Oryzias latipes: one gene and its partners. The protein of the gene in region 5 purifies or fractionates together with the protein of the main gene of each other region. This does not show direct contact. Links are inferred from orthologs where the notes say so. Each region holds a gene or a part of one and is shown on either strand. Other genes may lie near its edges. The genes, in order: ccnb1, mybl2, otub1, plk1 and foxm1.

Region 1 (4,016 bases), on a different chromosome or scaffold from region 5:
ACAATAGGATTAAAAAATAAAAGATTACCATGTGTTTAGTTTGCCCATTGTTGACTTTCACGACATTCTTAGCGATGTGCGCCATAACAGGTGTCAGGGTCTCTGCTGTGTACTCCATGTAATGCTGCAGTGTCACATCCTGGGAAGGAAGACATTCATATCCAATGCTGTCCCAGGCAAGTCAGCGATGAGAGCAAACCCTTCAAGTGTCACTCACCCATTCCCCTGCATCCAGGACCTTGAGAGTCAGCGCCAGAGCTGCACTCGCCACCAATGAGGGCGGGAAATGAGCCATGTCGTAGTCAACCATGGAGAGCTCCAGCAGGTATTTGGCCAGGGTGTGTTGTTCAGCAGTTACCTGAAGAAAAATAAAATCCCACCTTCACCTCAGCACATGCAGTGGTGGAAGAGAACAGTTTGCCGCACCGACACCGCGCCACACCTCATAGATCTTGGAGGCCCTTCTGAGGAACTGCAGCGGGAGGGGGCGGCCCAGCTGAAACTTCAGCACTCGCAGAATAGTCATTTCCATGTCTCTGATCTGAGCAGTGGTGTAAGCCCTGTCCGTCACGTAGGCAAAGTCTGAGATCTCCGGAGGGTACATCTCCTCGTATTTGGAGGCCAGGAACATGGCGGTCACGCCAACCAGCTGCAGCTGCTTCTTGGGGACTGGATGGTCCTGTTGAAAGGACCGCAGACAAAATAAAAGAAAAATCTCAGCACACAAGTCAGTTAGAGGACATCTGTTATGAAATTATTTTTTTTTATTGAATTATGGAGCACATCTAGTCTGTAGAGGAACACTGACAGACTCACCTGAAGAAAGCGGTCGATTATTCCCACAGTCATGTACATGGTCTCCTGCAGCAGACGGAACTTGAGGCCCACTTGTACCAGCCAGTCAATGAGGATGGCTCGCATGTTTCCGGTGATCTCCTGACCCTCAAGGTAGTTTGGCTTTACGCTCTGCTCCATCTACAGGAGAACAAACGTCTCTTTAGGGAAACGGCACACATCAGGAATGCAGCTTTCCGGGTTTTAGTCCGACCTCAAGCTGACGGAGGTACTTGTAGATGTCCTTAACATATTCACTGCAGAGCATGGGGTTGTCGTAGTCATCTGCATCCACGTCCCTGATGGCCGTGTTGAGGATGACATCTGAAAATGCTTGACAGAGGTCAGCAGACTCACATCCAGAGGTCTCCATGGGGGTGGGGGATGCACGTTCAGCCTGGGCTGGCACCTGTGAGAAGGTCATGTCAAATCATTACACGTCACCCTAGTGGTAGAGCGTCTGCCCCAAGACTGGTAGGCAGAGGGTTCAAAACCAGTGGAGTCACAGCAAAGACTTCGGATGGAACCAAAGCCTCCCTGCTTGATTCAAGTGGACACATCAGAAGGGAGCTGGTGACCTGCCGGTGGGATTTTCTACCTCACAAATAAGCCCTTATCCAAACAAACAGCATTTTTTTTCTCAATTCACAACATTTGAATAAAGTAATCAGAAATGAAATTTCAATCTCATTTTCTTTAGATGAATCTTTTATAAGAAAGAGGCCACAATCAGAGTGGGTCTGTAAGGGGTTGGATTGGGAGTGGTTAACCCACCATATGGCTCCGAAGCACAACCATGCCTGGAGCTCACTGCTGCCCCCAGAGGATGGGTCAACCACGCAGGACAAATGTCCCAACCAGGTGTGTGACAACCAATGACACCAACTCACCTCAGTCACCTGCACTTCAGGTGCTGGTTTAACAGGGACCACAGCAGCTTTTGGTAGCTCGATCTTCTCAGCTTTAGCTGGGATCTTTGTCTTCTTAGCAACCTCCGTCTTGATAGTCTGAAGAAAGAAAGGTCAAACCCAAATACTGCTATGCATTTTACAGAGCTGGGATCTTTTCATTTGAGTTCTTTGCTTCTTGCACAGTTTGGGAAATCTCTACAGCTGCAGGCCAAAGCCACAAGTCCTAGCTGTACAGGTTTTGAAGCTCTGCGCATTGAGCTGATAGTACAGCAGTAACAAGAGTTTCTCTTAACAAATGTGCATTCAAACTCAAGTTGTTGTTTTTTTAGCAAAGATTTAAATTTACAATTGATGGTGTACATTCTTAGACATAGTTCCAGGTTAACTGTGCTCCTCCAACCTGGGATGCATTTTATACTTGACTAAGGGCCCCAGTTCAGCACAGTAGACATTTTCTCATCAGAACAGGCCCAACCCCTCACTTCTACACCAAACTTGCCCCAAAAAAAGGTTAATCACTTTACTTCGATAAGTGGAAAATACATTTATATAGGATTTTTAAAAAAAAAAAAAAAAGATTTTACCTTTTTCGTGACATCTTTGTTAATAACTGCGACGTTTCCGATTTCTCCGAGGGCCGCGCGGGGCTTCTGTGTAGGCCCGGCCACCGAGCACGTCTTTCCGCCCAGTTCGGCCCGGGTGGAGGCCAGTCGGTTCTGCAGCGAGAAAACGGACAAAACAAGGCGCGCTCGAGATAAACCTGCAGTGGTGAAGCAGCACGTTCAATAAATTCAAGCCAACAATATTTGACCTCTAGCTTCCGCTCACATACAGCCACATGACAGTCCAGTCAGAAAACACGTCAAAACATTTAAAACCAGAGAAAGACGCGCTTCCTGAAATCGTTCTTTTCCGGTAAAAACAGAGAGGAACGTGTAACGTGGTTCAGACTTACCCTGGTAACTCTCAGAGCCATGCCTTTGCCTGCTTCTCTTCCACAAACAACCACGAAATTGAAGCGGAGAAGGTGAAGATTCCAACGCACGAGTCGTGGTTTAAATCCTCGCTCGCTGCAAACCGATTGGCTGCGCTGGGCGGCTGCGGCGATTCTGATTGGATAAACGAGTACGTGTCAGATGCGCTCCCAAGACAACTTTGGGTCACGTGATCACGCTCTTCTTAGGTCACTTCCCTTACCCGGATATCTAACTCCGTTCTTCTAGAGCTATTAAAATAAAAACATTTGTAGATAAAAACATACACTACTTTATTGTTTGCATCTAAACAAGGAAAACACTTTTTTAACGCAAAACAAAAAGAAGAAGAATCAAGAGGATCTCAAAAACAATCCTTTACAAAAACAAACAGTACACTGAAGCTTATTTTTTAAGTATACTTGAGCATCATTTTACCAAGCATGCTGCTATAGGTTGGATGTATGTATAGTAGAAAGTACAAAATCTGTTAAGGGTTAACAAAATTTAGTATCCTTAAATGCACTTCAAGTAGGCTAAAAGTGAGGCAGTGGACTTGAAGTTTACTTTTTATATCTATATATTTTAAACTTAGACAGACTGGGCTGGCGACCTGTCCAGGGTGTCCCCTGCCTTTGCCCGTAACATGTGGAAAGGCTTCGGCAGCCCTGTGACCCCAAAAGGTACAAAACGGAAGAAGATAAATGTATATATAGTAAACTTAAAATGTTCCAATTTAGTCTATAGATGTATTCAGTTAGTATATTCCCTACACTACATGTGTATACCGGCTATACTTGTTATGCTCAGTTATACTTAATCAAATAAACTCAAAGTCTACCACTTATTGCTAATAGAATTGAATGTTGCCCTAAAAATGATTTTATTCTGACACTTAATGATTTTCTCAGTTTATTGTCATTTTTTATGTTAAAACATGTTTGAATCCCTCCGTGCAAAAGAATGCATATATATATATCTTTTTCTTTTTACAAAAAAGCTCATTAGTCCTGTATTCGCTACTAAAGTAGAACAGTGGTGTAGTGATTTGTTCTTTTGCCTCAGTAGGGCCTGGCTCACATCCCAGCCGGGTCTTTTCTGAGTCAAGTTTACAAGTTTACCCCAAGCATGTGTGGGTTTTATCCTGGCACTCAGGCATGTGCAAACATATTTAGGTTAATTGATGATTCACAATGTCTGTGACTGTGTGGCCCTGCAATGGACTGGTAACCCATCTGGAGTGTGTACAGCCTTCACCAAAGGATCCAGTGACCTCAAAGAGGATCAGCAGGTTTGA
Region 2 (3,078 bases), on a different chromosome or scaffold from region 5:
CACTTGTAGTCAACTACATTCATGTCTTTGTTTTCCTCACAGGGTTGCTCCGTGCCAGTTGTCCCGCCCACAACTGAAATGGTCTTAATGAACTCCTGCCGCTCTGCAGAAACTGTGTCCCAGAAAACAACAAAGGTTTTCTAATTTTGCCTAAAACTGCATATTTACAATTAAGAGTGCTGGGAGCGCTTTGAAAATAGATCAGAAGGTGACTGGAATGGGACTTTAAGAAATCAATCTTTGTCATAAAAGACTTAAGACCTTAGACTTAGACACCAGAACTAAATCAGTTTTTAAGCATCTCAAAAACACAGCAAAACTCGAGAAGTTTCATGGTCTGGATGAGATTCAAGAAAAGCAGTCATGCCTTTTCTCCAAAATTCTGTTAGAAAGATGCAGCTCAGATCACTTGTCAGAAAGAAAGAATGACATCACTGCTTCAAAACTCAATTTAACAGTTGAGGTTTTTCATAGATTTCGAATCATTGTATGAAGCCCACAAGTTTGTTCCTGAAGCATTTATTTGCATTGAACATATTATTGTTATTTTCTTATTTAAAAATACACAGAATATTTACAATGACTTTATAAAACATTGTTGCAGTCGCATCAAAATTCTGCAGGAACAGGAATACGTGAGCCCTATTTAGACAAATCTGAAAGAACTCTACAGTCACCTAGCGTAAACGCAGCTCTTCTGCTGAACTAGAAATTACCTCCAGACTCACAAGACCATGACAACCACCTATTTGATCAAGTTTTTACCCCTGATCTTTTGTAAACATTCTTTTTTATTCTTTTCTCAAAACACTAAATTGGCATCCGTTCTGTCAGCTGAGCCACGAGGCTGTAGTCTGATTCCCGCCCCCCCCAAAACATTACTAACTCTAAACCGTTTTCTTTACTACAATCAAAGAACATCAAGAAAAGTCTTCTGGAGGGGTCAGGACAGGATCAGAGCCCGGTTGGGTGGATGATTTTTCAGGGAGCGAAGGTAGCGCCTGGCTTTCTCCGTCATGATGAGCTGGTCTTTGGTTTGTCCACAAACAACCTTCTCCCACTCTTTGGACATCTGGGGGAGAAAATAAGCATAAAATGAATCATGATTCTCTTTTTTGTTTTGTTTTTGTAAACATTCTCCAGTAAGTGAGGACTTACAGGAGCGGGGGGCACTGGAGTGGGAAATATGGCGCTGTCGCTGGGCCCCAGCAGGAAGCCCTGATCAAGGATGTTCTCGCGCCGTTTGCTGCAGAACGACGAGGAGTTCAGAGAGACGAGAATGGGTTCTTCCTGAGGCGAGACCACAAGACGGAGCAAAGAATGAGCATCGGTTGAACCTGCATGGATGACATAACTAGTGTGCGCAGGCTTCACCGTCATGCTGAGTCTGACGTCAGGCCTCATGGACTTGCGTTTGGACGAGTGCCCCAGCTGACAGTCCATGACGTCCAGAGCCAGAGATTTCCGCACTTTCTTCATAGGAGGACGATGCTGATGCAGAGAATCCAAGAAGCAAAGGGAAAGATTACTTTTACAGCAGCTTAATTTGTTTTTTTTTCTATTAACTCACTTGAATTTGACCATTTATATTTCCCAAAACTGAAAACCACAACCAAATATTTTAATCCATCAGATTTTTTTCATCAAATATAAAAAACAGAAGCCCGTAAGCAGCGTAGTGAGACCCCGCCCTCAACGCCCCCTTTTGACCTGCCCTCACTTGCTGAGCAGCTGCTACACAGCCCTCACTCCATCCCCCTGCTGCTGCCACTTTGGTCGGAGCTGCATGAAACAGCTCAGTTGCATGAAACTGTTGGATTTATCTCCATAGCAACTATTTAACTTTTTGGTTCCTTGGGGATAAGGAACATGTCCAAGTAATTTTTAGAAGAATCGACTAAAGTAAATTTCTGGATTTCCTTGCCGACAGAGTTTTTTTTTTTTTTTTTTGCTAAGCACATCCACATTTTTAATTTTTTCATATTGTTTGTTATATCATTTCGTTCAGCTTCAGCCAACAACTAATGGATTGAATTTTTACAATATCCCGGTAAAAATGTTTGAGCAACAGGGGAAAGGGATCTTTGTGAGCTCGCCACGGAATTTCCAAGTAGTTGCCCAATGATGCTTGAGGAGTTAGGAGGCGATAGATGGAAATCCCAAAAATGAGTATGAGTATACATTTGTCGCTGGTCCAAGGTGATTTATTTATTTTAAAGTCTGAATAAGCACCAGTTTTTCTGCCACAAGAAAAGAATTCTAAAAGTGAATGAAGTTTGCGTGAATCTTTTTTCAATCTACCATCATTTTGCGTTTCTGATCAGGTGGAGTTGAGCGCACGACAACCAGCTCCATCCCAGAATCCCTCAGGATGACCTCGTTGATGTCGTCTTCCAGGTTTGGAGTTTGAGGCTAAGAAACAAACAAAAAAAAAAAACAACAACATTTAAGTGAATACGGAAATGTTTTTAATAAATGAAAGTAAAACCCAACAGAAACAGGTTGTGCTCCCACCAGCGGCTGCAGGGGTCCGTACTTCTCCAGAGCATTTTTGAACGGGGTTGGAGTTCGTGGCGTCGTGCAGAGCTCAGACTTGTGGTTTGGAGTAACAAACCTAAACAACAACAGAGTAAATAATCAGACCCCAAAAAGCCCTTTAATTCATATAACTGTGTATTTTGAGATATTCTGAATACATTTTCCACTTTGAAGCTTCATTCACCACCCCCCCCCCCCCACCCCCCTCTCAGCGACGCGCGTTCAAGTTCCCACTTCCAATGAAAAGTCTATGTAAATGTCCGGCTTCCGCTCTCAAAACTCTTTTCAGGCTCTATGTACAAAACGTGCATCCACTGAACGCCTGTTGAAAGTTACACCAGTTGAACTTTGACCAATCAGGGGACTAGATTTGGTCGTGACGAATGGATGGCGTCCGTTTTAATCCATGAAAGTACCAACCGTTTGAAAACTGCTCACAGAGGAGAAACGAGTAACTGCGGTTTGGGCCCGGACTGACTTATATGACACCAAGTCTGCTAAAAGAAAACGGCAGGAGCAACATTCAAGAGATTTGCTCCG
Region 3 (4,199 bases), on a different chromosome or scaffold from region 5:
CACGATGTTGACCAAGCATTTGGACGTATTCACGTTGTTGACCAATCGGATGGACACATTCACGGTGTTGACCAACTATTTGGACACATTCACGTTGTTGACCAATCATTGGACGCATTCAGGTTGTTGACCAAGCATTTGGATGCATTCACGTTGTTAACCAATTATTTGGACAAATTCAGTGTTGACCAATCGGATGGACACATTCACGTTGTTGACCAATTATTTGGACAAATTCACAATGTTTACCAATCGGATGGACACATTCACGTTGTTGACCAATCATTGGACGCATTCACGTTGTTGACCAATCATTGGACGCATTCACGTTGTTGACCAATTATTTGGACAAATTCAGTGTTGACCAATCGGATGGACACATTCACGTTGTTGACCAATTATTTGGACAAATTCACAGTGTTTACCAATCGGATGGACACATTCACGTTGTTGAACAATCATTGGACGCATTCACGTTGTTGACCAATCATTGGACGCATTCACGTTGTTGACCAATTATTTGGACAAATTCACAGTGTTTACCAATCGGATGAACACATTCACGTTGTTGACCAATCATTGGACGCATTCACGTTGTTGACCAATCATTGGATGCATTCACGTTGTTGACCAATTATTTGGACAAATTCAGTGTTGACCAATCGGATGGACACATTCACGTTGTTGACCAATTATTTGGACAAATTCACAGTGTTTACCAATCGGATGGACACATTCACGTTGTTGACCAGTCATTGGACGCAGTCACGTTGTTGACCAATCATTGGACGCATTCACGTTGTTGACCAATTATTTGGACAAATTCACAGTGTTTACCAATCGGATGGACACATTCACGTTGTTGACCAAGCATTTGGATGCATTCACGTTGTTGACCAATCATTTGGACAAATTCAGTGTTGACCAATCGGATGGACACATTCACGATGTTGACCAATTATTTGGACATATTCACAGTGTTGACAAATCGGATGGACACATTCACGTTGTTGACCAATCATTGGACGCATTCAGGTTGTTGACCAATTATTTGGACGCATTCACGTTGTTGACCAATCGGATGGACACATTCACGTTGTTGACCAAACATTTGGACGCATTCACGTTGTTGACCAATCATTGGACGCATTCACGTTTTTGACCAATCGGATGGACTCATTCACGATGTTGACCAAGCATTTGGACGCATTCACGTTGTTGACCAATCGGATGGACACATTCACGGTGTTGACCAACTATTTGGACACATTCACGTTGTTGACCAATCATTGGTGCATTCAGGTTGTTGACCAAGAATTTGGATGCATTCACGTTGTTGACCAATTATTTGGACAAATTCAGTGTTGACCAATCGGATGGACACATTCACGTTGTTGACCAAGCATTTGGACGCATTCACGTTGTTGACCAAGCATTTGGACGCATTCACGTTGTTGACCAATCATTGGATGCATTCACGTTGTTGACCAATCGGATGGACGCATTCACGTTGTTGACCAATCGGATGGACGCATTCACGTTGTTGACCAATCGGATGGACACATTCACGTTGTGGACCAAGCATTTGGACGCATTCACGTTGTTGACCAATCATTGGACGCATTCACGTTGTTGACCAATCGGATGGAGCCCTTTCATGTCAATTTCTGCCTCCTATGTAGATGAGTGTCATTTTAAGTATAATGCATGTTGGCCCTTACTTAAATGAACTGTTGCAGTGGAATAGAAATAATGTTTTCGGTTGTTTTGCTATTTGTTCATGTATTGCAAGTTCCATCGTCAACGCAATATAGATCACTAAAATGGCAAATCTAGAGTTTTCCTCATTCCATTTAAAGATTTTCTTAAACTTCAACTCTCTGAAACGTGAAGATCCAGACGTGATCATCACAGACATCAGACCAGTACCGAGCTCAGCATCTGAGCCCGGTCCAGTGATGGGGTTTCCTCACCTCCTGCTGGATCCGGTCCTGCTGAGCGATGATGGCCTCATCATGCGCGAGGCAGTTCACACCTGGAAGACACGAGCGCTTTTAGCTTTACCTGAGAGCAGCAGCAGCAGCCACAACAACAGCACCACAGAACTCTCTAGAACCTAGAGCCACTCCAAAGTACAAAGCAGATTCAAAGATCGTCTCTGCATCGTCCGCTGCACTGGTTGGGAAATAAAAACAAAGTCGGCGCGCGCGTTTTTGGGGGAAAAAAAACTCACGAAACGCGAGTCAAAGGGTAGCAGCACAGGATGCTGATGAGGGTTCAAAAACAAGTTGGATGTCGTCTGAACCCATCAGAACCGGTACCGCTGTCTGTCTGTCTCTGTGACAGACACAGACAGACAGACAGCTAAAGGGTTTAGCTCATGATGATGCTGCGTCAAAACAAAACTAATTATCAACGAAAAGACATCCGTCCTGCAGAGTCTGCATGGGTTCTGGCCTCCGACGGGTCCTCATCGAGCTCTGGCACTGGGGGAGGGGGGCTATCGGTCGGCCGCTGCACTACAGCGTTTCCTTTGTGTGGCTCGGTTATCGTTAGCCGAGCAGCTGCGACCCGTTTACACTTCAGTCTACCGGAGCATCGGGCGGACATCATCCCGCTCGGAGCTCCGGTCACATCCGGTCCGGATGTTCGGCAGAACTGACAGGTCGGCACGCGGGGTTTTTCGTGCCACAGGGGCTCCTCTCACCCTCCATCTCTCCCTGTGATGATTCCTGCTGTTCCTCCGCCATCTTAGCTGTGGAAATCTGTTTCCTCCTTCTTCATGACCTCAGCGATGACGCACTTCCGGGCGGCCGCTTTGCTCTTTTTAAAACACACAAACACGATAAAGTCAACACAAACTGTTGTTGTTTTTTTATACTACACACACAGGAGAAACAACAATAGTGTCACCGGAACAATAACTTTGTCCTGGACTGAAAAGACCATTTTTGTCTCACAATTCTTCCTAAATTTGACCCGCCATTCACTCAAAAACTCTGACAGGTACAGAAAAAATAAAACAAAAATACAAATTATTTTTTACTTGAGGATGTGACGTCCTCACAGACTTGGACTTCTCAAATTATGAAACCATCCGTTTATAAATTGGAAAAAAGGAGGAACCCCCCCCCCCCCCCACTTAATTTATAAAGCTGTAGTCTTAAGGTCGTGTCAAACAACCACCACGTACATTTTGTGCATTTTCAGTGTATGAAATCTCAGTCCTCCGTGATCCATGCGTGATCTACGTCAGTGGTCCCCAACCGTATTCATGCCACGGACCGGTATGACATCACACAAACTTTCACGGACCGGTATTTCAAGTATAGGCGGATGATTATTGTAGCAATACTAGGATGAGGGAGGATCAAATACGTGACAAGACGAACTCTGTGCTTTTAGTTTGACTCGCTTAAAAGTTGACATCGCACAGGTCTCATCATCATCTCCCCTTCCCACACTCTCGTGGTGCAAAAAAAGGTACTGTCTATTAAATTTAGCTTTCTTATTTTGGAAGTTGAAGGCTCTTCTTCTTTCTCCTGGCTGGGCATTTTCCCCTCGGCAAAGAAACTTTCCAAAGACATTTTGTTTTTTACTCATTTTGCTAGTTCCTGGATTTTATTTTAGCGGTAACTTAACACGTGACCGAGAAGAGCGCCTTGGAATGCGTCAAAAATGACATAGACTGATGTACCAAAGAATTGGGCAATTTTTCAAAATAAAACATCTTTCAGATTCCGAAATAAATAAAACAGAAGTAATGCAAGTTATATATTCTTTCTCTGCAGCCCGGTACCAAATGACCCCAAATGACCCCCGGAGCGGGCAGATATCCGGGAGCCCGGGGGTTGGGGACCACTGATCTACGTCATTCATAAATGTTTCTTGCGTTTGTCGATGTGTTCAGATGTCCCTCGAGGGTTTCAGACGACGGGTTTTAACGTGAATTCAGTTTTGTTCTGTTAAAAATTTTTGGTCGGTTGAGAATTACGCAATTTACGTAGTTTATACGCAATTATTACATAAATCTTCTGCAATTACGTGTGATTTTTGTGAGATACACAAATGTGTGTCTTTCCAGGAGCGTTCCACGTTTGTCTAACAGACTTTTCATGCATGAACCACTGATGTGTAACTTTTAGATCACGTACACGGCGCACAGATCACGTTCAGATGACATCATTGATGCCTGAATC
Region 4 (4,230 bases), on a different chromosome or scaffold from region 5:
TGCTACCTCCAAACTACTGAACTGTATTCCTTTACAACCTCTGATGGTTTATAAACGGTGTGTTTGTAGCCTTAGGATGCACCGGTGCAAGCAAGTCCCCGCAGTCTTCAGGTAAGCATCCCCTCAACAAGCTGTGTTTTGAGTTAGTGTCCCATAACCATTCCCCCTTTACACTCTTAACCCAAATTAATTTACCACAAAATGTTGATCAGCCAGCAACCAGCAATCTATTAACTGGTTACCCCAACTACCATGCAGTGGTGGATAAAGAAAAAAAGAAATGAAAACCTTAGGGGAAAAACAACTTTTTTTTTTTTTTTTAGCTTGGCATGTTGAAACCAAACAGTACAGTCAATATCCAAATGTAAAAAATTGGGAATCTTCATGTATTCTGGAGTTATTATTTAAGTATAGGCATCAACAGGTTAACCATCATGATCAGAAAGTGAAAGTCCTTAATTTCATCATGTTAACATCTTGTCAAATAAACAATAATCTTGGTATCACAAAAACGATGTGACTTTTTTTTAGTGTGGCAAGACAGATTAAACCATTACTGCAGGTTTACTTTCTCATATTGCTTTTGTTACACTATATTTTACTGCTTCTCACCATTTTATGCTTTCCAGCATAAATAATCTTTCAAGTTAAACCCTGAGGCTTTTTTGCTCAAAATCCTTTTTGAATTTCAACCAATCTAGAGTGAAAAATATCCTCCTCACTACCGGCAATAAAAACTTGTCCCCATAGTGGACATTTCTAGACCTGAAAATTATTCAACCACTGCAATTACTGAATGAACTCCTTTTGGTATCTACAGAGGGCATTTGTGGCTTTTCAATGATTACAATGATACACTTAGAATGCCGATAGCACTGTCTGAGAATTTGGTTTGAAACAGTATTTAATGGTTGTTCTAACAGAGTAGAAATTAAAAGAAAACATGAGAAGAAAGCAAACACTCACATGTTTCTCAATTTATGAAAAGTTGAAAGTTTTTCAAGGAAGTGTGGCGCAAGATGAGTGTACACAGTCAGCATGGCAATCAATAAAAATAAAAGTGTATAACCTGAACCAACAATGTCTGTCAATAAAAATCCATCCAAAAAGTGAAAATGACAAATTCATAAAAAACTCATAGTCTAACAAAGATTAAATAAACTTCATATGATCCTCTGCATTCATGTAATATTAGTGTTCAACTAATAACATGAACCTAAATGATCGATATTGGATCAGGAGTGGCCATAATTCGGATAACGCTAATAACAAAACACTTTCGAAATTAAATCCTTTTCCCGACTACATTTCCCATCCGTCTTTCTCGAGGAAACAAAAACAGCCTTTCAGCCAATCAGATTGTTGGAGGCCTTCTACTCTACTCCTGATTGGCTATTTTTGTACACATGTTCCCAAGATGCTTTGCTGTGACGCTGTGGAATTCAAATCTAGCAGACCAATCAACGATCGCCAAAACGACCGAGCCAGCATTTTAAATTTGTACGAGACACTTGTTATCGAAAAGGCAGAACGGGACAAGGCAACCGCTGCCGGGGAAGTCTGCGCAAGAATTCTGCCTCCGGTTTTTTTTTTAATTAATTTATTTAATCTTGGGACCTGTCGGCCTTTAAATGTTAGTCAACGTTTGCGGTTTAGATCGTTTGTTAGTATTTGCTGTAAATTGAGGCGTAGAAAAAGTTAGCTTCGAAGGCTAAACTAACGTCGGTTGAGTTGGAGGGTTAAACAACACTTTAGCCCTTGTTTAATAACTTTTGCGTTTCGACTTCTTTGGAGTTTTATTAACGCGGAAAGAGCACTTTTAAAGTACACCATGAGTGCTGCTATCGCAAAGCCGGCGCAGCCGTCCGGACACGTCGACCCAAAATCGGCTCCTCTGAAAGAAATCCCAGAGGTTTTGGTGGATCCCCGCACCCTGAGGAGATACTCCAAGGGCAGGTTCCTCGGCAAGGGGGGCTTCGCCAAATGCTTCGAAATTACAGACATGGAGACCAAGCAGGTTTTCGCTGGCAAAATAGTGCCCAAGTCGTTGATCCTGAAGCAGCACCAAAGGGAGAAGATGAGCTCGGAAATCTCCATTCACAAGAGCCTCAATCATGCTAACATCGTGGGCTTCCACGGCTTCTTTGAGGACGACGACTTTGTCTATGTGGTCCTGGAGATCTGCAGGAGAAGGGTGAGGATTTTGGGAACTCTAAATGAAAATACATGAAGGCCAACGGTTAACAATGTGGCCTCTTCCGTTACCCCCCCCCCCCCCCCTCCTTTGGCATAGTGCTGGGAGACTCAAATCCCCTGATCACTGCTTTAAATCACTGTTACTTATCCTAAACCAGTAACTTTTTGTAATTTAAAACTATAGAGATATCTAAATTCTTTTTCCCCTTTGTGTTGTTCCACGTGTTGTTTTTAACACTTCTTGAGGTGCCACTTCACTTCATCCAGCTTGTTCATGCTCTCCCAGCCTCCATTTTCCTCCACTGAGTTCAGCCGCTCACCAGAACTGTTGTCCTTTTTCAAGTCCCTGTTGGAGTTGCACAAGCGCAGGAAGGCGGTCACGGAGCCGGAGGCTCGCTACTACATGACCCAGCTGCTGAAAGGGGTCCATTATCTGCACAGCAACAAGGTCATCCACAGAGACCTGAAACTGGGGAACATCTTCCTCAACGACGACATGGAAGTCAAGATAGGTATGGAGAGCAGGAAACCTGTCGGTGTAGTGACAAAGAAACGGGCACACCCATGTTCTTGATATGCTCCCATAACTTCCTTGTTGAGAACTTCCAGCTCCAATTTGTTAACACCCATATTTGGCTTCTTAATATCCTTTACTCAGATTAAACGCTGATCATTTCTTTCTTTCCTTTTTTGCTAGGTGACTTTGGTTTGGCCACAAAGATTGAGTTTGATGGTGAACGGAAGAAGACCTTGTGTGGAACGCCCAACTATATCGCTCCGGAAGTGCTGTGCAAGAAAGGCCACAGCTATGAAGTGGATGTCTGGTCACTTGGGTGCATATTGTAAGTGTGTAAACCCACAGTGGAGTGGGGAAGAGTGTCATTCCACAGGATTCTGGATACTCAACTTCCTTCCTGTATCCTCTCATAGGTACACTTTGTTAGTCGGCAAGCCTCCGTTTGAAACCTCATGCCTGAAAGACACATACAACCGGATCAAGAAGAACAATTACACCATCCCCTGGGTGAGAAGAGCTGACGTTAATCCCTAAATGTACGTAATAGTTGGTGAAAGAAAATCTTAAGTTTACCGTCACTTCACTTGAATGCTGCAGCAAATCAACCCGTCAGCCTCGGCTCTCATCAAGAGGATGCTGCATGCCGATCCTGCCCAGAGGCCCACCATCACTGACCTGCAGACGGATGAGTTCTTCACATCGGGATACGTCCCCCTGCGGCTGCCCACCACTTGTCTCACTGTGCCCCCGCGGTTCTCCATTGCCCCCTCCATGGCTGCAGAGCTCAGCCAGAGGCGCCCCCTGACTGCCATAAACAACAAAGGTAACAAACCCAACAATTGCCCAAAACTGGTGCACTGATAATGAAAGTCTGCAGTTAATCAACAGTGATATTGATGGAGGTTTTTTTTATATATTTTTTTTCTCAGCCGGCACAGAGAAGGTGGACATGAAAGACGAGCCTGCTCCACTGTGAGACATCACACTAAGGTCTAAAACATGCGTCGTAGTTTGATCAAAAATGATAAATGGGAATTTTGTGTGCAGAGAGGCGGAGCCAGAAGAATGTTACCTGAAGGACATGCTGCAGCAGCTCAACAGCATCATCTCTGCCAAGCCTTCAGAGAAGGCGGTCATTCGGCAAGGTGAGAGCAGCCGCCTGCAGGAACTACCTAAACTTTCTGCAGTTTTAGTCAGTCCTTCTTACAGAAAACCCCTTGTCTTTGATTTCAGAGGAAGCAGAGGATCCTGCGTGTATTCCCATCTTTTGGATCAGTAAATGGGTCGACTACTCTGACAAATATGGATTAGGTAAATTCTAAATCTTAGGACAGGTTTGCCTTTTATTGTCTTGCTTTTAATGGAGAATTAAGGGTGTGCTGTAAATTGCTTTCGCAGGATACCAGCTTTGTGACAACAGTGTTGGTGTTCTATTCAACGATTTCACCCGACTCATCATGTATGCTGATGGCGACAGTCTGCAGTACATTGACAAGAAGGCTGCTGAGTCCTATTTA
Region 5 (4,270 bases):
GGTTGGGAAATTTATAGTTAAGTAGACTTTTTTGCCAGTTATCTAATCAACTAAATCTATATTTGTAATGTTTTATATATTTTTATATATTTAAAAGACTTTTACCCAGGAACTGAGAGCTGAAGAGCTGTGTGTCTTGGAGAAAAACTCTCTGGGATTGAGAGCAGCTCTGACTTCAGGCACATTTTGAAGTCTGGCGCCACTCACAGGTCGCTCCAGGAATTGCAGTGCAGGCTTGTCTGTCTTTGCCGCTTTCCGGGGCATCAATTTAAATCAATCTTAAGCATCTGTTCAAAACAAACAAGAGACAAATCCGATCGAGTAATCTTGTTAACAATACACATAGCTTTAGTCGTAGATCGAGGCTGTTTACATATTCGCATTCAAGTGTTTACTTTTGAAACGCGTTCTTTACTTACCATATTGTGCTTTTTCCGTGATTATGTGTCCATGTACGGAATACGGAATAAAAACGTTCCCTTATTTTTCGGTTCATTCAGACCTTTTTATCTTAGCTTGTCCGTGTTGTTGTTACTTTTAATTTCCCGGATTTTTTCTTTGTCTTCTTCGGGTTAGCGGCTGGCCATCTCGAGCTGCGGCCCACAGCGCCACCTATTGAGCCGCCCAGTGTTTTTTTCTGCGTTTACTATTGGTCCATTGTTACCATGTGATCAAAGTGACAGTCGGGGCAGCGCCCACAGCGCCAAAATTCAAAACTGTTTATGGATTGACTTTTTGTATCTAATTACTACTAAATACGTCGGTTTTGTGAATATTTTAAATGTTTTCTTTGATCCGACAAGTGGAATTGAAAGCCGAACCAAGCCTGGAATTGAATGAAACGCTGCAGTAATTCAGTAATGTGAAGGTCTGGCTTCATTTTTCCACTTGTTTCCTCCATCGTCAAACAGCTTTAGCATAGCTAGCTTAGCCTAGCTGTAAATAAAGGAAACTATACGCTAATCGGGACATTGGCTAGGCGCATGTTATTTTTTGAATTTATTTTTTGTTTTATTGATTGCATTGTGTTAACATGTAAATATATGTTGCACTGAATATCCACTAGATAGACGTTATTGAAATTAAACCTATCATCAACTGAAAATTATAACGACTGGCATGTCGCCAAGGGAACCGAATAAAATCTTCACTTTCGAGCGAGGGACTGTTGGGACTTTTGCAGCAAACAGACAGCAATAATCGGGTTTCTTTAAGTTTGAAGACGATATCATAGGATTGAAACATCATTTTTGACCGATTACTTCGTATTCTATTAGCAGGTATGTTGTTTTCAGGCTCACTAGTTCGGGGTTATCGTTAAAGTCAGTATTTAAACGTTGTAACGTAATGTATTGATAAGGTGTTTAACTTCTGAGTACTTTTTGAGCCATAACTGTAGCTCAAGACCTTTTCCCCCTCCCCACAGATTTCCATTGAACACCTAAGGCCCTTTGGATGATTTGAACCATGAGACGGAGCCCAAGGAGACCCCTGATCCTCAAAAGGCGCAAGTTACCTTTTCAACAAAAGGAACCCACCCCAGCAGACCCATCCAGGCAGTCCGGTGGCTCCAAAGAGCCGTCAAATTCCAGCGACAGTTCGTGCTTCCCAGACGGGGTCCGCTTTATAGGCCACCCATCCCTGTCAGACACTCAGGTTGTGGTCATTCCCAAAGCTACAGACGTTCAGAGTGTAATTAGTGTCCTCGCCGCTAAAGGCAAAGACAGCGGAGTTCAGGGTCCGAGCAAGTTTATTCTCCTGAGTGACAATGGCAATCAGGATCAAGCCGGATCTTTCTGTGAGACTGCTACTTCTGGAGGAGATGCTGTTTCCACACAAATCCCATCTCAAGAACCAGCAACAAAAGAAAGCACTCACACATCCCTTGATGTGACTGGCATTAAACCCTGTAAGGAATTTGCACAGAGTTTAAAATTTTATGTCAGAAATGCTACATTTAACTGAAATACCTGCTTCAATATATATATATAATTTTTTTTCAGTGAGTAAAGATGGGAATAGCGGCCCTTTGGATGACAGCCTCACCAACATCCAGTGGCTGGGCAAAATGAACACATGTGCTCTAGAGTCAGAGCCTGCAAAGCAAATACAAGGCAAGGAGAACCAGGCTCCCGTGTCTCAGACTGCTCAGGTCAGCTGTTTGTCTTTTTTTTTCCTTCCACACGGTTGTGACTTTTGCTGCCAGTGTGCAAACAGATTCTTGTGTGACAGGAACACAAGTCTGAGGCAATGTTGTGGCACGTTTCCTAAAATTGAACAGTAACCCGTCTGCCTGAGGAAAATGTCACCATGCTGTGATTTTTCACCATTTGTGAGGTTTAGTCACACGTTTTCATTTTATTCTAAAGCTGCTCTTTGCTGAAGATTTTGACAAAACGTAAGTTTTTTGTGAGAGAAAAATAGATACTATTACCCACCATCTGAACTGAAACTTTGATGAATTATATATGCTTGAATGGTGATTTAAATAGTGTTGCATGACATAATTTACAAGAACATTTATTGCAATGCTCCATAAATAGATGCTAACTTTGTATATTTGTGACTTAAGTAGCTCAATTATGATGTTTATTACTATGTATAGATTACAAAGGCTTTGATTTTACCCATATATTTGTATGTATGTATTAATGATATAGATGCATATCAACAGGATTTGCTTTATTCACTGTAGATATTGCTATATATTCTCTGATGGCTGATCTTTTTTGAATGTGTTTACATTCAAAATCTGATGGAAATTCATGCACATATTTTAACCCTGACACTCTAATTTCATGCAAATAGTCACTTCCTTTTGTGATTTGTCCTTTTCCATCTTAGGGGAAATTCTATAGTTGTGTTTTTTTTTGTTAATGCTAAATTAACCGTCAATTTTTGCATCTTTAGATCAGTAAATGGTGAGGTGTAATAATTTCCTTTTTAATATTTTTGACCGTTTTGAAGCTGCTGTTCAGCTCCGCAGTACCCGAACAGAAAGAAACCCGAAGACTGCTTAAAGACCCACTCCGATAAAAAAAATAGTTTTTACCATGTTATTGTCTCAATTTTCTGAAGCTAGAGGACATATATAGGGAAAATTAAGCTTACAATTGCATTTCTGAGTATATCCTCATTCAAATTGTTGTGAATCAGGAGCAGACTGAAAAAAGAGCTCATTTGTGACGTAGAAAATATTCTAAGCTGGCCACAAGTTCTCTCGTCTGAGGGAGGGGACAGCGTTCCCGTTACATACTGTCTGTATGTGTTTCAACCTGAAGCCACATCTTCCAGAAAAGAATTTCTCGAGTTTGTCTTCCGTGTTCTTGCAGTCATTTTCACGGCTGAAATTCACCCTCATTCGCGTTTTTTCTTTTGATCATAGGCAGCCAGCGTACCTCCAGAAACGAAACCTTGCCAGCAGCCCCTGTCAGGGAGGCCGCCGTATTCCTACATGGCCATGATCCAGTTCGCCATCAACAGCAGGAAAAACCGGAGGATGACCCTGAAAGAGATCTACACTTGGATCGAGGACCATTTTCCGTATTACAGACAGGTGGCCAAACCCGGATGGAAGGTAAAAAAAAATCCAGACTTTTGTTTATTCAAGGCTCCCATTTTTTTGATCCAAGCGTTTATATCTGTTCTGAAATTCCCATTTGCAGAATTCAATCCGCCACAACCTTTCTCTGCACGACATGTTTGTTCGCGAGACGGCGCCCGATGGGAAAGTTTCCTTCTGGACCATCCGGCCTGAGGCCAACCGATGCCTCACTCTAGATCAGGTATACAAGGTGAGCACGGCGGCGTTTTTCAGTGGTTTGCAGACACGTCTAACAGTTTCCTTTAATGTTTTGCTGTGTTTTTCACCTTTTAAAGCCTGGATGTGATCCAGTGACTGCTCCAGTTCCTGTTCCAATGCTTTTATTTCCCAACCAAGTAAGACGGCATCTTCAGTCTAACAGAACTTTGCAAGCAGGAAGCTGAAAGGGACAGAAGCTTAAGTGTTTCTTCAACCTGTTTACCTTTAATAACCTTTAATGTCTTTGAAGTTAGCTTTATGTGGACATTTGAGCATCGTAAGTTTATTTATTCTTGCAGGTTTGCTTTGAAAGCTGTGTTGTTTCTTTGCCATTGTCCACTCAGTACAGCAGGGGCAGAAAATGAAAAGGAAGCAGTGGATTCTCTTCATCCAGAATGTGTCGTCTGAAAGTTAAACTTTATGAATCAATTCGAATCTACATTTTTTTTTGTTTCTCTCCAGTCTCAG

Evidence for each region.
Region 1: the proteins of foxm1 (region 5) and ccnb1 purify together in Homo sapiens (affinity purification with western blotting; 4 studies listed by BioGRID, with this or other methods). This does not show direct contact. The link is inferred for Oryzias latipes from reciprocal best matches to the Homo sapiens genes FOXM1 and CCNB1.
Region 2: the proteins of foxm1 (region 5) and mybl2 purify together in Homo sapiens (affinity purification with western blotting; 3 studies listed by BioGRID and IntAct, with this or other methods). This does not show direct contact. The link is inferred for Oryzias latipes from reciprocal best matches to the Homo sapiens genes FOXM1 and MYBL2.
Region 3: the proteins of foxm1 (region 5) and otub1 purify together in Homo sapiens (affinity purification with western blotting; 4 studies listed by BioGRID, with this or other methods). This does not show direct contact. The link is inferred for Oryzias latipes from reciprocal best matches to the Homo sapiens genes FOXM1 and OTUB1.
Region 4: the proteins of foxm1 (region 5) and plk1 purify together in Homo sapiens (affinity purification with western blotting; 5 studies listed by BioGRID, with this or other methods). This does not show direct contact. The link is inferred for Oryzias latipes from reciprocal best matches to the Homo sapiens genes FOXM1 and PLK1.

Annotation. Positions count from the first base shown.
Region 1 is NC_019870.2:25,679,525-25,683,540, reverse strand, and holds the start of ccnb1 (G2/mitotic-specific cyclin-B1), read right to left. Parts: upstream 2,810-4,016; 5' UTR 2,722-2,809; coding exon 2,701-2,721; intron 2,462-2,700; coding exon 2,330-2,461; intron 1,842-2,329; coding exon 1,725-1,841; intron 1,244-1,724; coding exon 1,049-1,243; intron 976-1,048; coding exon 817-975; intron 680-816; coding exon 443-679; coding exon of another isoform or gene 383-442; exon of another isoform or gene 359-382; coding exon 218-358; intron 140-217; coding exon 29-139; intron 1-28. UniProt on the Homo sapiens protein: Essential for the control of the cell cycle at the G2/M (mitosis) transition.
Region 2 is NC_019863.2:23,217,203-23,220,280, forward strand, and holds the end of mybl2 (myb-related protein B), read right to left. Parts: intron 2,615-3,078; coding exon 2,515-2,614; intron 2,413-2,514; coding exon 2,302-2,412; intron 1,492-2,301; coding exon 1,375-1,491; intron 1,291-1,374; coding exon 1,159-1,290; intron 1,073-1,158; coding exon 944-1,072; 3' UTR 507-943; downstream 1-506. UniProt on the Homo sapiens protein: Transcription factor involved in the regulation of cell survival, proliferation, and differentiation. Transactivates the expression of the CLU gene.
Region 3 is NC_019876.2:28,621,194-28,625,392, forward strand, and holds the start of otub1 (ubiquitin thioesterase OTUB1), read right to left. Parts: upstream 2,812-4,199; 5' UTR 2,751-2,811; coding exon 2,708-2,750; intron 2,036-2,707; coding exon 1,974-2,035; intron 1-1,973. UniProt on the Homo sapiens protein: Hydrolase that can specifically remove 'Lys-48'-linked conjugated ubiquitin from proteins and plays an important regulatory role at the level of protein turnover by preventing degradation.
Region 4 is NC_019859.2:22,726,367-22,730,596, reverse strand, and holds the start of plk1 (serine/threonine-protein kinase PLK1), read left to right. Parts: upstream 1-1,429; 5' UTR 1,430-1,831; coding exon 1,832-2,194; intron 2,195-2,539; coding exon 2,540-2,708; intron 2,709-2,893; coding exon 2,894-3,038; intron 3,039-3,126; coding exon 3,127-3,220; intron 3,221-3,310; coding exon 3,311-3,536; intron 3,537-3,642; coding exon 3,643-3,685; intron 3,686-3,760; coding exon 3,761-3,858; intron 3,859-3,946; coding exon 3,947-4,024; intron 4,025-4,111; coding exon 4,112-4,230. UniProt on the Homo sapiens protein: Serine/threonine-protein kinase that performs several important functions throughout M phase of the cell cycle, including the regulation of centrosome maturation and spindle assembly, the removal of cohesins from chromosome arms, the inactivation of anaphase-promoting complex/cyclosome (APC/C) inhibitors, and the regulation of mitotic exit and cytokinesis.
Region 5 is NC_019881.2:18,848,109-18,852,378, forward strand, and holds the start of foxm1 (forkhead box protein M1), read left to right. Parts: upstream 1-1,467; coding exon 1,468-1,909; intron 1,910-2,003; coding exon 2,004-2,152; intron 2,153-3,385; coding exon 3,386-3,577; intron 3,578-3,665; coding exon 3,666-3,794; intron 3,795-3,879; coding exon of another isoform or gene 3,880-3,939; intron 3,940-4,264; coding exon 4,265-4,270. Other genes in the region: rhno1 (RAD9, HUS1, RAD1-interacting nuclear orphan protein 1), read right to left, coding at 106-264. UniProt on the Homo sapiens protein: Transcription factor regulating the expression of cell cycle genes essential for DNA replication and mitosis. Plays a role in the control of cell proliferation. Also plays a role in DNA break repair, participating in the DNA damage checkpoint response.